2 linked regions of the Drosophila melanogaster genome follow. The protein of the gene in region 1 purifies or fractionates together with the protein of each later gene. This does not show direct contact. Each region holds a gene or a part of one and is shown in the gene's direction. Other genes may lie near its edges.

Region 1 (9,617 bases):
TGTGCGGAAGCGAATGGCGGAACCAGGACACAAGTGAGGAGTACACCAACTGCTGGCCCATGGAGTGGCTGCCAGATGATTATCCAGATTCCAGAATTCTGGGCATAGATTACACATCAGCAGTCACAGAGTGGTCTGCCAATTTTACCAAATACTGTCCGTGTGAAAAGGGTCAGGGTCACATTGATGTGAGAGCCAACACACTGCTCGACAGGATTTCAGCGTCGGATGTGGGCAACGATCGTCCGATCGTGTGGATAGGACATTCCATGGGCGGCCTGCTGACCAAGCTAATACTGCTAAAATCCCTGGACTCCCAAGAGCCGAAGGTCCAACAGCTGACCAAGAACACTAAAGGCATTGTATTTTTGGGAACCCCACACCGGGGCTCACCAATTGCCAAGTGGAAGCAGCACATGCAGATGATCCTGTCTCCATCAATCGAGGTCAAAGAGATGGAAGAGAACTCGCCGAAGCTGCTGGAGATGCACCGCCGCTTTATGGGGTGCTTGCACACGCTACTGCGCCATGTAAAGGTGGTCAGTGTAGCTGAAGGATCCCCTACCATGTTGACCTCGTTCAAGTTCCCCCTGCGCATTGTCACCGAAGAGTCCTCTAAGATAGATTTCGGGGACTTCTATCTGCTGAAGGATGATCACTTGAGTCTCTCCAAGCCCATTTACAGGCAATCGTTTCTGTATCAGAGATTATTGCACGTGATCCGCGAGGCCATTAAGGAACGATCAGATCCCAAAGATCAGGATGGCCAGTCACAAAGCACTTCGAATCAAGATGTAGTGCTTGTCAAGATCGTAGCTGCTCTGTTGGAGGGAGCCAAGGGTCTGTTCGAATCGCTGCCCAGAGTCGCCCTCAGATTTAGCACTTAGGATGGGCCAAGTCCCACTAAACACCAGTACCCTAATAGTATCCCGACTAGTCTTTAAAGACTTGTAAAGTATTTTCTACACGAACCCTCACCATCATGACCATTCATCTTTGTAAATACTCCAGCACTCCATATAGTTTTTTACACCCGAATCCTAACTTATTATTCTCGGTCTCCGACTAAAACGTTTGAATAAAGATACATGTGTAACACTAATGCGAGTGGTTTTAATACGATTAAGGGTATATTTAAAGTGATATTCATCAAAGATCGAAGTACAGAAAAATCAATTTAGATATTAAGTACCGCGCATTAACTTTCAACGTAGCTTATTCATTTATTTTTATAAATTATCCTTTGAAAATTATAAAAATATGCGTTTTTATATCATAAATATACACTAACTTTTACTTCCGCTCTCCTGCTGCTGCTTGGCCTTAAGTCGCTCCTGCGCCAGCCTGCGGTTTTCCGCAATCCTGGCCATCTGTTCGTTGGATAATTTCTTAGCCGCCGGCGTGGGAGGCTGTGAGGGAGGCAGCGGCTGACCATAGTCGCTGATGTCCATCGATGCCAACGGAGCTCCATTCCGATCGAAGGCCGGAGCCACAGAAGCTCCACTTCTGTCGAAGGTCGCATTTACACCGGAGTACGGCGTGGACATTACAGCATTGCCGCGGGAGAATGACGGAGTAGCCAGCGTGCTGTTACTGGAAGCAGTAGACATTTTCCACTGCTGCGGGCTGGGAGGCGCCAGCCTGGACATGGCAATCTGTTCACCTAGCAGGGCGTCGAACTCATCAAAGGGTTCATCGCCGGCACCTTCCTGTTGCTCATCCTGCGCCTCCTCCAGGGCCTCCGCTTCGTGGGCGCGCATCTGCTCCAGCTGACCGAGTCGATATCGCGCCATGTGCACTTGGAGGGGTTTCTTCTTGCCCAGCCGTTCGATATTGTTAAGCACATCGTCAAAGGTGTAGGTGGGATACATACGATGGCCCCAGTGCTGCAGGCGGCGAAGCACCTCGTCGAGATCGGTTTTCTCGTAACCCTTGCCCTTGAATTTGATGTCCTTAAAATAATCTTCGATGGTCTGGATGCCACGAGGACCTCGAAGTGTTTCCACAGTGAGTCGCGGTCGGGGATTTCTCACAGCTCGCTTCTTAGGCTCCACTATCTGGGCATCCTGGCTACCAGGTTCTACGCCGTTGTCCTCGTCGTCCGCAAACAGCTTTTCGCCTTCGCCATCGCTGGGCAGCTGATCCGGGTCAGTCGGAATGTTGTCATTGAATAGGTCATCCACACCATCATCTCCGAACAGGGATGCCATAGAACTAGTGGCCGAAACTTAAATACCAAATAAACAATCTAACAAAATTTTGGCGCCAATTTTTGTTCTTCTTCTCTATCTACCATTCACAGGCGACGCTTGCATAAGTCACAGGGGGCTGCCAACTGAACAGCTCTTTGTTCTTTTAATTTTCCGATTACATAACTATTTGGTCTTTCCCAAAGGCTATTTTGATTTGCTTAGACATATTTTCATTAGTGGGTGGCACTAAAGGTAATTTGTACAGCCAACCCGGCTTTTGCATTGGTGGCAGCAGACATAAGAGATGGCAGCGTGACACGTTTTTTTTATCACTAAGCGACACATTGGCGTCACGAGTTTTTGTTATTCTATTATATTTATACCATTATACAAGGAAGGATAATTCATCCAAAGATTGTAGTTATTTAAATTTAGTGAAATATTTAAAAGGAGTTGGTAATGTAATAAAATTACCAAAAAAAATAAAATAAAATCAATACATTATTAGCTAGCTAGTTTCTTTTTCATCTATTTTCTCATTCCAATTACTCATACCACATAAAAATTGAAAATAATTATCCGGGGAGCAACGGAAGATTATTATTTACGTTGAGAGAAACTGTCCTCTTTTAACTGCTATCCTTGTGGTCTGGCAGAGTAAGAAATAAAAATGTGTTTAACGACATTTAGTCGGAGTTGACGAGCTGCCGCTCTTTATTCTGGTAACTGCAAATTTAAGCTGAAACTTAAAATGATTCTTAAAGCTAACAAAGACTCCGGCCCAATGCTGTCTCAGCACTTTGATATTATGTTTCATACACTAAGCCAACTGTACTAGTTCGTCGGCTCGTGTTAACTTAGCTATTAGCTATTATGTGCAACAAAGTACAGTTTCGTGAAAATATTTTCACTTCGTGACTGTCGTGCTCAGCTCGTGCATCGCAGCAAATTGCCATCTCTATGCCCCCAATCAACTCTGCGCTTTGGCGAAAAGTGGCAACGCCAGCAAAACGCCATACTTTTAAGAGCATTTTCGGGGCGACTTTACATTGTGAGGACAATTGTGGAAAAAGCGGTGAAAGAACGTTCAAAAACGAACCGAAAAACTGCTGCCTAAATGCGGTCACCACGTGCGATAAGAACGCCACGTTTAAAACGATAAATCCATTAGATTCTGGCCAAGAAAAGAGCGGTTCTTTTGCGAGGGCGAGCAAGGAAAATTTAGTGTGGTGCGAAATTGTAATCGGGATTCTACGCATTGTACGGCGTATCAGCTGAAGAGATTGTGTGCACCCCAAGCGACGCAAACAAAACCAAAACAAAACAAAAACATTTGGAGAATTATGAGATCGTAGGACCGACGGCACGGGATTCAATTCGACTGCCATGGACAAGCGATTCAAGTGGCCGCCCAAAAAGCGGGCCAACTACTTGGAATCGCCCTATCCCCACATACCGTCGCGTGGCCGCCAAAGGAATCTGCACGGCCATCCCAATCAGACGCAGCATCTTCATCAGCATCCCGGGAAGATCTATGAGCGCCAGCAATATGGCAATGGTCGTGGAGGACATGGCGGGGGTAATAACAACTACCGAAAGCTTTTGCATTCGCTGCCAGCTGAGCATGGTGGCGGAGCCATGGCTCCTCCTTCCTCCGGCGGAACCGTGTGTGCCGGCGCCGATATGGTCAAGCTCATCTCGGAGAACAACAACCTGAGGCGCATGGTTATGTTGAACTTAAACCTGATGCAGGAGCAGACGGACAGCATAGCGGCCAAGGACAAGGAGCTGGACGACCAAAGCGCTAAGATGAGCGTGGTGAAGGCGCAGAATGAGGAATTAAAGCAGGCCGTTGCTCAGTTGGAGGCCGCCAACCAGGAACTATGCAAACAGCTGCGGCGAAAGAACCAGCGAAGGAACGACAATGACGACGACGACGATGATCCCCCACTGCCACCTGCTGCCCCGCAGCAGAAGTTGATACGTTGTCATGCTGAGACGCAAACTGTGTTTCGGGAGCGGGAACAGGGCACACAAACGATAGATGCGCAGCCTCAATTCGCGAATGCACTTCCCAGGGGTATCAACATGAAGGAGTCTCCCGCTCTGGACCATCACGCTGGAGCGGTAACGAATCAGCCAGCCAGCAAACGCTCGGAGAGCAAAGGCCGCGGTGAATTCAACGGTAAAAAGGTGAGCACGTTTATTCTCCAGCGCATGAATCAGGACTTCGAGCACCACATCCACGAGCAAACGGAAGTAGCAGAGGAGCACGAGATGGAGGCACATAAGGAGCAAATATCTCAGGAAGAGGACCAACTGGTCGCTGAGGAAGATCATCTGCATATGCAAGAAGTGCACACCGAGGAAGTCGTTGGAGGCGATATCTTTCATGATGCTTTGGAATCAATTGAAATGGAAGTGGTCACCGAAGAGCTGGTTGATATGGAGGAGCATGGACAGTCCGTGGATGCCAACGGCCATATCGAGGAGGATGATGACGAGGACGACGAAGATGACGAGAATAGTGATAAAGACGATGACAGTGAAGAGGATGATTATCCGTGGATGCATAGCGATGCGGATGTAAACGCCAGAACTGAGGAAGAGCTCTGGCAGAATCAGGTATGTTTAATGTTATTATTTAATTAAAAGAATATATCGAGCAATCCTTTACTCTTTCAGAATTACCTTTTGGAATTGGACCCGACGGAGGAGAAGACCTGTGCGCCTTCGGCCCATTCAACTCCCAATCACCAGCAGAAGTCTTCGACACAGGCAGAGATAAGGAAAGAAGGAAATCAGAATCGGATAACTGAAAAGTTGTTGCAACTAAAGCCTGAGCCAATGGTAGATGCATTAGAAGCGCCGATTCTCCCGAAGTGGGTGGCTTTTAAGAAAAAGGATAAGGAACATGAATCAGTCCCCGAGTCCCCAGAAGTACCCAAGCAGCAGCCGCATCAGGAAGATGCCATCGTTGATCATAATGCAATAAAGAATCAGTTGGAAGTTCCCAAGCCGGACTTAAAACCGAAGGACCAGCCCAAAGACGAACAGAGGCAGGATGGGCAGCTGGATGTTCGCGTGGAACCACAAGAGGATGTTCGTAAGGTACAGAAGGAAACTCTGAAAAGGCAACCAGAGGATGCACCTAAGCACCTTCCGAAAGCGGTAGCCCCAAAGGTTACGAAAACATCCTCTCGAGAAAGCACGTTGCCCAAGGCAAACACCGCTGACATAAAAGACGCTCCCGCTCAAAAAGTAATAGCCAACCATCAGTCCACCAAGACGCAAACGGATCCTGTAAAAACGCAGCGTTTGCAGGTTAAGATCAGGCAGTATGAAATGCATCCTGACATGAGAACCGGCTCCTCCGCCCCGTCTGATATTCGGAAACAAAAGAACGTTGATCCAGTTTCGACGCCCGAGACGAAAACCATTAAAAGTAAAAGTATGTTGGTCAATGATAAAAAGACCACGTCGGAAACGTCTCAGAGCCCAGATCAAGAAATAGATGTGGAAACAGTTAGAAGAAAACTGGCGGAACATTTAAAAAAGGAGCTCCTAAGCCAGAGTCATTCGTCACAGGTTACGCTCAAGAAAATAAGAGAGAGAGTCGCCACAAATCTAATATATCCACCACCCAGTGCACCAGTATCCTCAACAACAATAACCCCAGCGCCTACGCCGTCAACGACACCAACGCCTGGCTCAACGCCACAGCATGCGGTTACATCCTCAATGGACCAGGAAATATCTGCAGCAAAATCGAAATCCAAGGCAGCTGAACAAATAGCAACTCCTCTGACACCTCAATCTAATAGCAGTGTTAGCAGCACCACTTCGACTATCCGAAAAACGCTAAACAACTGTTCACCCCACACGTACAGCAAGGCAACGGCGAGATCGGGAAAACTGCAGTCCAGATTCCGCACTGCCACGTTTCCGTACAGCACGAGAACGTGGGAGGATCAGGAGTTCCACTGTGACAACGAGTTCTTCCTGGAGGAGGCCGACGAGCTGCTGGCGGATAACCCTAGTCTGGAGATACCCAAGTGGCGGGATGTCCCAGTGCCACCCAGTTCGGATAAAATTGACACAGAATTACTGAGCGATGCGACCTTCGAGCGCCGGCACCAGAAATATGTGAAGGATGAGGTCGATCGAAAGTGTAGGGATGCACGTTATATGAAGGAGCAGATACGGCTTGAACAGCTTCGGATGCGACGGAACCAAGACGAGGTGTTGGTTGCGCTGGATCCTCTGCGCGCCTCCACTTTCTACCCGCTGCCCGAGGACATAGAGGCCATCCAATTCGTCAACGAGGTGACAGTTCAGGCATTCGGCGAAAACGTGGTCAACATGGAGGCGCGGGATGATTTCGGTGTGCCTTGGGTGGATGCAATCGAAGCGCCAACCTCCATAGCCAGGTCCAAGGCACTGGCTGAGCCGGTGGCAACGTTGGCTAGCAAAAAAATACCCACCACTGCTGCCGAGGCGAGGCATCAAGAAAATCACTCCTCCTACGTGTTTCCCAAGCGACGCAAGCGCCAGAAGAATCGTTAGCCAGGAAACGCCTGGGGGATCTGATACTGGAGCTAAGCAGAAGACTGTCGGTTGGGGGAAGTCGTTGCGTTTGACATACTAATGATTTTCAGTTTTAAATCATGAATTATTTCTTAAGCTTAACGTGAAAGCACCAGAGTTAACAGTAACGATTACCACAGATCGTCTAGAAGTCAAATAATCCAGAGCAGACGATGTTTATTGTATATATGGTTCCTCAACTGTCCGTTTTTATTTGTGTAATAAAATGAACGGAACGCTGAATTCTGGAACATTAGAAATTCTTTGTTATAGAATCTATAAATTTATGTCAAAGTTTTGTCGTTTCTTATGCGATGAGAGATCTTAAAAGGCAAGTAAATTGAGCTGTCCTATTCAAACATTTTTCTATTAAATTGTTATCATATTTATTTCCTTGAAATATAAATAATTCGATCTTATATTAGATGTAAATGAATCCAAATGTTCGTCGCCTGGTCTGGAAATGATTAGTTTTTAGTTAACGTCTTGCAATTGAAAAGAGTTTCACCCTTGCTTGTTTCCAATGTACGTAAATTACTTAGTCCCACACAGCATGTAATTCAAACCAGTCGCTTAGTTAGATTGGTTAACTCATCTCAGCTTTATCACCTTTAAAATCGCCCGCACTAAAGTGATAAGAACACGAAAGATATTCACATAAGTTATATTGGGCATTTTTTTGGAGAAAAACAATGAAATTCGTAGACTTATATTTTTAAATATTTTTTTTCTTTAGCCCTTATAACCATTTTTTTTGTCTTTGTTTATACTGTTATATCTGTCGATTCTCGAATGCAGACAACGTGTGTGTTGCAAAGAGTTACTCAGGTATATCTCTGATAATTTGTCTTTTTTTTTAGGATTTGATTGTGTAAAAATTGAGTGCGAGTGGTTGTCTGCTTCGAGTAATCAAATTATACATTGGATCTATTGTTTTATTTTATTAACTTCATTAAACTTGTTTTATGTTGTATCGAACAAGAAAGGCCGTTAAGATGAAAACTAGATTTGAAGAATAAATATAAAACTGATTCCCGAACTGCACACCCGTTTGGCCTTATGGGCACCATGTATTTTTGGCTAAATATTGTTTCGTTTAACACTTCTTCTGTTTGACTTTCTGTCGCAATGATATGGAGCCTGCCAACGTCCGGAGAAATCAAATCACCAGCTCGCTTTCGAGTGGCGTCTTATTTTTGTACATTTCGATAGGTGTAAAGTCGGTTACTTGTAATATAGCGTTAAGTAGGCACTGTACCCAAACGCATAGAGATAATTATAATGTAACAAAGTAAATACGATACGATGTACATTGTCCAGGAAAAGGAGGAGCGGAGGGTGGATGAACTTCGTTCAACACCATTTTACACCATTCAATGTAATTAGCGTTAAATAGTTCAATTTACTGAAGCTTCAACTAAAAATCAATTCGAAATTAATTGCCACCATTGTAGAGCCCTAAACAAACTCACCTACTGTAAGAATAAATGTACTACATACAATGTATTTGTATTTGTTTAACAAGTTTTATTGTAAAGATAACGATAATAATATACAGGATAAAGTAAATTGTAAAGCAACGAAATGCAATCAATACTTGGACTTGCAACTTATTTTGCACAGGTGATATGTAAATGAAATTCTAATAATTGACAATGGGTTTATTTAACAGGCCTCAATTGATTTTCCAATGACCTGGCATCGCTTGCTTCTGGTTTCCTTAGATGTCTTTTTGTTTGCGATCATCTCGATATAAACTTGTTTAGGGGCTAATTGCAAATGTATTTAATATCTTAGAAAATGCTTCATTATACTCTATATATTGGCTGTGACAATTTTATCTGACCCTCGTTACCTAATGGAAAACATAACATACAAAATCTTCAACAACCAGAATAGCTGGATTGAAAATCAGTTAAAATACCTTTAAAAAACGGAAAAGCCTAACGGAATTTTATATTATTTATTGCTCTGCGTCAAGTACTGGTGTCCAGTGCTTGCCCACAGCTCATCAATATCGTCAAAGCTCTCGCGCCACAGCTTCTGAAGGAGCTTCCATCCCTTTTCCTGGGTCACCAGGAGGTACTCATTTGTGGGATGCAGCGTGTGGGTGTAGAGTCCCATTACCAGGCTCTGAACAAATCGGGCAGTAACACAGTACTTGAGAAGGGCCAGCTCGGAATTCTCAATTGGGTTCAGACTGGTATAACCGGACAGAAATATGCCACCATTGGCCAAATCGTTGGCCTGCAGTATCATATAAGTGAGGGCAATTCCAATTTCGAAGATCAGTGGCGATTTGCTCGTATCACCGAAATCAATAACTCCCTTGATGGTATATTCAGTTTGATTGGGCACCTGCTCCACCACTATATTTTGTTCGTTGAAGTCCCCATGGATGATCTGGTGCTCCATGGATGGCAGTTGGCTCAGAACCTTGGCTTCAAAGGCATCGATCACCTCGTCGCAGATAAGCCGCTGCTCCTGATCCTTCACCACGTACAGGAATTGCCTAAGCTCGGGAACACTCTGAAGCATCCACAAGGTCTTGTGGCTTTCATATGCCTGGTGGGTGAAGTTCTTGAGGGCTCGATCCAACCTGGCCAAGTATTCGCCGCTGCGGTAGAGCAGGTGCTTCGTCACCGGCACCTGGTGGAAGATTTCTCCCGGTATAAATTCCAGCAGTCGCACCACATTCGAATTCCCATTCAGCCGTTCCACAGAGTAATACTTTCCTGTTGCATTGGCTACTGGTCGTGGGCATTTCACACTGTGTTTTCCTAGGGAATACGATTGCATTGTCAATTTGCTGATGATTTGGCTAGCAATTCTTACCCA
Region 2 (4,980 bases), on another chromosome or scaffold:
GGGTTGGAGGATCAGGAACAGAAAGACGCACTCTCTCCATCGGAGCAGAAGAACATACAAAACAGTAAGGATAAAACCAGTCATCATCATTCCAATTGCAAGATGTCCAGCCATGAGAAGGATTTAGTATCCACCAATTTGACCTGTCCCTGCAAGCCGGAAGTGGAATCCTCACAAAGCCCAGTTTCCTGCCCCTGGATAGCCGAAAATTCAAAGTGTGAACCCCCGTGTCGGGAAACACCACCACAATCTACGCGAAATTCCGTATCCAGTCCGCAAAATTCAGATATTTCTGAATCCAGCAAAGAACCGGCTCACTTGATGGAGAAGGAACCATCCGGTCAGGAATCCGCGAATAGCCAGCAAGTGCAGATGCTTTGCGATATGATACGTACCGAGCTAACCACTGCTCCCGATTTTATATTCTTCGATGCCAAGTGGCGGATCATCGAGATTCTGAGAGAGGTGCACAAGCGCCAATTGGTTCACCAGAAGGCCATTCCACTCAACAATACACGCCGACCGATTCCGCCGCAAAAACGAAAACCGGGTGAGCCCAATCAGATGCTTAAGAATCCAAAATGCATGTCGGATAGGAGTGCCCACGAAAAGGGACAACAGAGGATGTGCGAGCATCACAAGGGCAGCCATTGCACCTACTGCTGCCGGAACAACAACTGAAGTGGAAACCAAAACCCATCCACCAGCATCCATCGCTATCAGCAATAGCCGTGACCCACTTAACCAAGTGATAAGCCAATCCGAGCGCAAAAGCAAAGCCACTTTCTCTCCGTCGCAAAAGCAGTTACATCTTGAAGCACCATGGATGTGGACGAACTGATCAGCAGCTCCAAGCTACTCAAGCATTGGCCAAGTTTATTTATCACTCTGGCGCTGATATGGATCGTAAAAAGATTGTTTTTTAAAGGGAATCGCGTATTAAAAACATATAATTTAGATGAACAAGTCGAGGAGGAGGGTAAGTTTTAAGATTATCCACGGTGAACATAAAGCTATTCTATTCTATTTTCCAGTTGAACACTTTGCCGATCTTGGCGATGAACTGCAACCGGCTCTGGAGGATAAGCCCCATGTGCCCTTCGTTCCCGGCCAGAATCTCAACCCTAATGGAGCCAAACGCTTATATGAACTCATGCGTGGACGCCGTAGCATTCGCTCCTTTAATAGCCATCCCAAACCGGATCTCAGCGTGATAGAGGACTGCATTCGGGCGGCGGGAACAGCTCCCAGTGGCGCACACACAGAACCCTGGACGTACTGCGTCGTACAGGAGCCGGAACTCAAGCGATCCATTCGGGAAATTGTGGAACAGGAGGAGCTGGTCAACTACAGCCAGAGGATGCATCCGCAGTGGGTCACCGATCTGCGACCCCTGCAAACCAATCATGTCAAGGAGTATCTCACCGAGGCGCCGTACCTTATACTGATCTTCAAGCAGACCTATGGATTGTCGGAGAATGGAAAGCGAATGAGGAGGCATTACTACAACGAGATATCCACTTCGATTGCGGCCGGTATCCTTTTGTGTGCCCTTCAAGCGGCAGGACTCGCATCGCTGGTCACCACTCCTTTGAACTGCGGTCCAGCCTTGAGAAACCTGCTCGGGCGACCCGTCAATGAAAAATTACTCATCCTACTGCCCGTTGGTTATCCGAAAGATGGATGCACAGTTCCCGACTTGGCGAGAAAGAATTTGTCAAATATTATGGTTACTTTTTAAGGTTTATTTACGTCCGTGCAGCTTACGAAATAGTTCAATAAAACCAAACTAAAATTTATGGTAATTCTTATATTTTTTCTATTGATAAACGAAATTTTCACATTTTCCTTAAATTTATTCTTCATTATAATTGTTAATCAAAATATAATATTCTTAAATATTTGAAACGATAGTCTCCACCATCCCTGCCAACCGATATACGGCTGCTTTCCAGCACCACGCTTTTTGGCCTCTTGTCAACACTATCGATAACGATAGCTACGGTAAGTGACACAAAAGCAAAGGGAAAATTTCTACGTGCGGTTCGTGTGCTGTGTGTTGAAATTACAAATAGCCAATTATCCGGCATTAATCGTTTTAGGGCTCTCTCGATTTTAATTGTATTATATTGTACTATAATACAGATATAAACCCGATTTGATCGAGTGTAACGGAAATCGACGCGATTCCCATCAAGGTGGTCCGTACCTAATAAGTGTTCACGAATGAGAGCAAAGCAGATGGCGGAGAGCGTCCTGCGTTTCAATGTGTGTGTGCGTAAACGAGTAGAAAGCGGCGGTAAAAACCTTCTCGTGTAACACAAAACAAATTATACAAAACATTCAATCTCAATATCAAAACGTTACTGTATTGTCTATTGAAAAACAAGTACAAGCGTACGCAGGGAAATTGGAAAATCCATTGAAAATCGAGAGCAACAGTCGCCGGAGCGGAATCAGCGGACGAAAACAAAAACGCTTTAAAAACGCAGCCGATACAGAAAGTGCCAGCGTGTGAGTGTGCATATGTGTACGTAGTTGTGGGCAAAGAGAACGGTAAAGAATAAGAAATCGAAAAAAAAAAATAAAAAACTAACTGTGGAAGTGAAAAATGCGCGACTGATAAAGATTGTGATAATCACGGCATAATATAACAAGCAAAAAAGAAGAATGAAAAGAAACCGCAACCGAATTGGTTGAATAATATTTAAGCCAACGCCAGTGCTGCATAAATCGGTGCACATTATCATTGGAACGTTCAGTGTTGCACATCGCTACCGCCCCACGCATAATCCAACACTCTTCCCCCTCCCCATCCAGATCCACCCACTCACACACACACACACTCCGATTCGGATTTCTTCGTCTGCATTATAATATTGCGCTTATAATCTTTCGCGAGGTGAGTCGAACTCCCAAATAGTGTTCTATTCAGAAATGAGTTTCCCCATCCAATTGTCCGCTAACAGCGGGAAAATTACTCCCGCCTGCGTTGAAACTGTACCATATTGTGGATGAAGAAATGGGATAGAAATGGGCAATGGGCATTGGGAAGGTACGGTGAAGATTGCCTAAATAGAACACAATAAGAAACAGCTATGTTCAAAACATCTTGCGGAATAAATTTCAACAATTCAGTTATTATTTATTTAGTATTTAAAATGTGTGAACTGGAACATTTATATCGTACATGTTGTCTATGCATTGTTGAACATCCATGAATAGAAAAAACTAATTCAGTTTCTAATTAAAAATACTACAACAATAAAACAGTCTAGCTAGCCAAAATGACAACTTTATGTCAGTACTCATATAAGAATGTGTCAAAAAGTTTAATGATTGTCTACAAATTGTTAGCGATTTTCGAAAAAATGTCTTTACTTTGATTTCTGTTTTTCCAGCTCAACGATGCGCCACGATCAGTCCCTGGACCTTTTTATTTTTATTTGTTAATTCCTGGAATATCCATCGATTACGTGAGGAGCACGTAGAGCATTATTAAAGGCATAGGATCTTTTACGGAAGAATCTAGCCATGAGTCGCTTGCAAAAGCAAAACTACGAGATCTTAAGCGGTACAAGTACGTCGCGCCTCAAGAATCATCAACATCCCCGTGAATCGGAGTCACTAGCCTACGAGGAGCCAGATCAAATGGTGCGGAATCATCTAAATGGCCAGCTGGTAGCCAATGGCAATGGCAAAACGCGAAAGAATAGCAATTCCGAAACGATGACCAATGGGAAAAAGTCCAAACTGAATACGGAGGGATCCGGCTCTGGTTCTGGAAAGACCTTGAACTACAATAATAATAACAATAACAACAACAGCATCAGTGCCACCAACGGTCAGTACACCAATAGCAGCAGCAAGACCACTTCAGCATCTGCAAGGGATTACACTTACCGCGAGACCATATCACCGCCCACACCTCCATCCCCGCCCACCACAAATGTGGCGGATATTGTTTGCATATCGGATGCGGAGAGCGAGGACGGACGCGATCCCGAGCGGGAGTACTACGACCAGGACATGGAGGAGGATGAGCCGAACGGGATAGAGATCGATGAATCCAGCTCCAGCTTGTCCAAGGCCAAGTCCAACAATGCAGCTGCAGCGGCGGCGGCGGCGGCTGCAGCAGCGGCAGCAGCAGCCTCGAAGGCCTCCTCGTCGACCACGCCCTCCTACGCCATGCCCACCAGCAATAGTACACCCCTTGATCTGGACAATGAGGCCCATCAACGGGACCTGGAGGCGGTCACCGATCTGAAATACTACGGTGAGTCATTCCACTCAATGATAGTGATAAAGAAGACCGGGCCAACTGCAAGCACAAGCTAGATAAGAAAATTTGTTACAAGTTGCAGGTCAGGATGTACTTATGTTAAATATGATAGTTTAATAATTCCGTCCATATCAAATTAAACCGCAACTTCTTCCCTGTGAATATTTCATGCCATTTTAAGGCAGCTGCCACAGAGCTTATCAAACATGGTAGTGTGGTGGAATAATTGATAACTTTAACCGGGTGGATGTCTCAAGGTTTTATTGAAATGTCGGCAGAGGGTGGCTGGTCAATGCCAGATGAAGTGCCGTCTCTATCGTTCTTTGTTAAAGTGGAGCACATGCATTTAACCTTGACACGATTACCCAGAAAACTCAACCCGGCTTTGTTCGCTCTTTGGGCCAAATCCAAAACTACTGACCTCCCCTGAAATCGCCCAACCTCGCCGTACTCACCTCTCACCACACTCTACATACATATACACAAAGCAGACAGAATATCCACCACCCAAATGTCTAATTTGATAACCGTGGGTCGAAAACCTATTGTTGCTGCTTGTTATTTGTTAAATTTGACACTTTTCGGTTGCATTTTTAAATAAATATTATTTACTGAGGACATTGGTCTGGATTTTGGTGTGGAAAGTAACACCTTTTTGAAGTAAACGTTTTTGTCAAGAGGTTTTCACAACAGCTGTT

What was found.
Region 2: the proteins of msl-1 (region 1) and JIL-1 purify together in Drosophila melanogaster (affinity purification with western blotting; 2 studies listed by BioGRID). This does not show direct contact.

Annotation. Positions count from the first base shown.
Region 1 is NT_033779.5:18,682,387-18,692,003, reverse strand, and holds msl-1 (male-specific lethal 1), read left to right. Parts: upstream 1-3,203; 5' UTR 3,204-3,578; coding exon 3,579-4,817; intron 4,818-4,877; coding exon 4,878-6,758; 3' UTR 6,759-8,284; downstream 8,285-9,617. Other genes in the region: CG10383 (uncharacterized protein), read left to right, coding at 1-887; CG10336 (uncharacterized protein), read right to left, coding at 1,287-2,210; CG31751 (uncharacterized protein), read right to left, coding at 8,739-9,559, 9,615-9,617. UniProt on the Drosophila melanogaster protein: Component of the male-specific lethal (MSL) histone acetyltransferase complex, a multiprotein complex essential for elevating transcription of the single X chromosome in the male (X chromosome dosage compensation).
Region 2 is NT_037436.4:11,090,194-11,095,173, reverse strand, and holds the start of JIL-1 (JIL-1 kinase), read left to right. Parts: upstream 1-1,980; 5' UTR 1,981-2,902; intron 2,903-3,317; exon of another isoform or gene 3,318-3,401; 5' UTR 3,402-3,534; coding exon 3,535-4,276; intron 4,277-4,980. Other genes in the region: CG46439 (uncharacterized protein), read left to right, coding at 1-681; Iyd (iodotyrosine deiodinase), read left to right, coding at 823-979, 1,035-1,741. UniProt on the Drosophila melanogaster protein: Phosphorylates 'Ser-10' of histone H3. May regulate gene expression by establishing or maintaining the structure of more open chromatin regions. Also required for normal polytene chromosome structure, for oogenesis and for viability throughout development.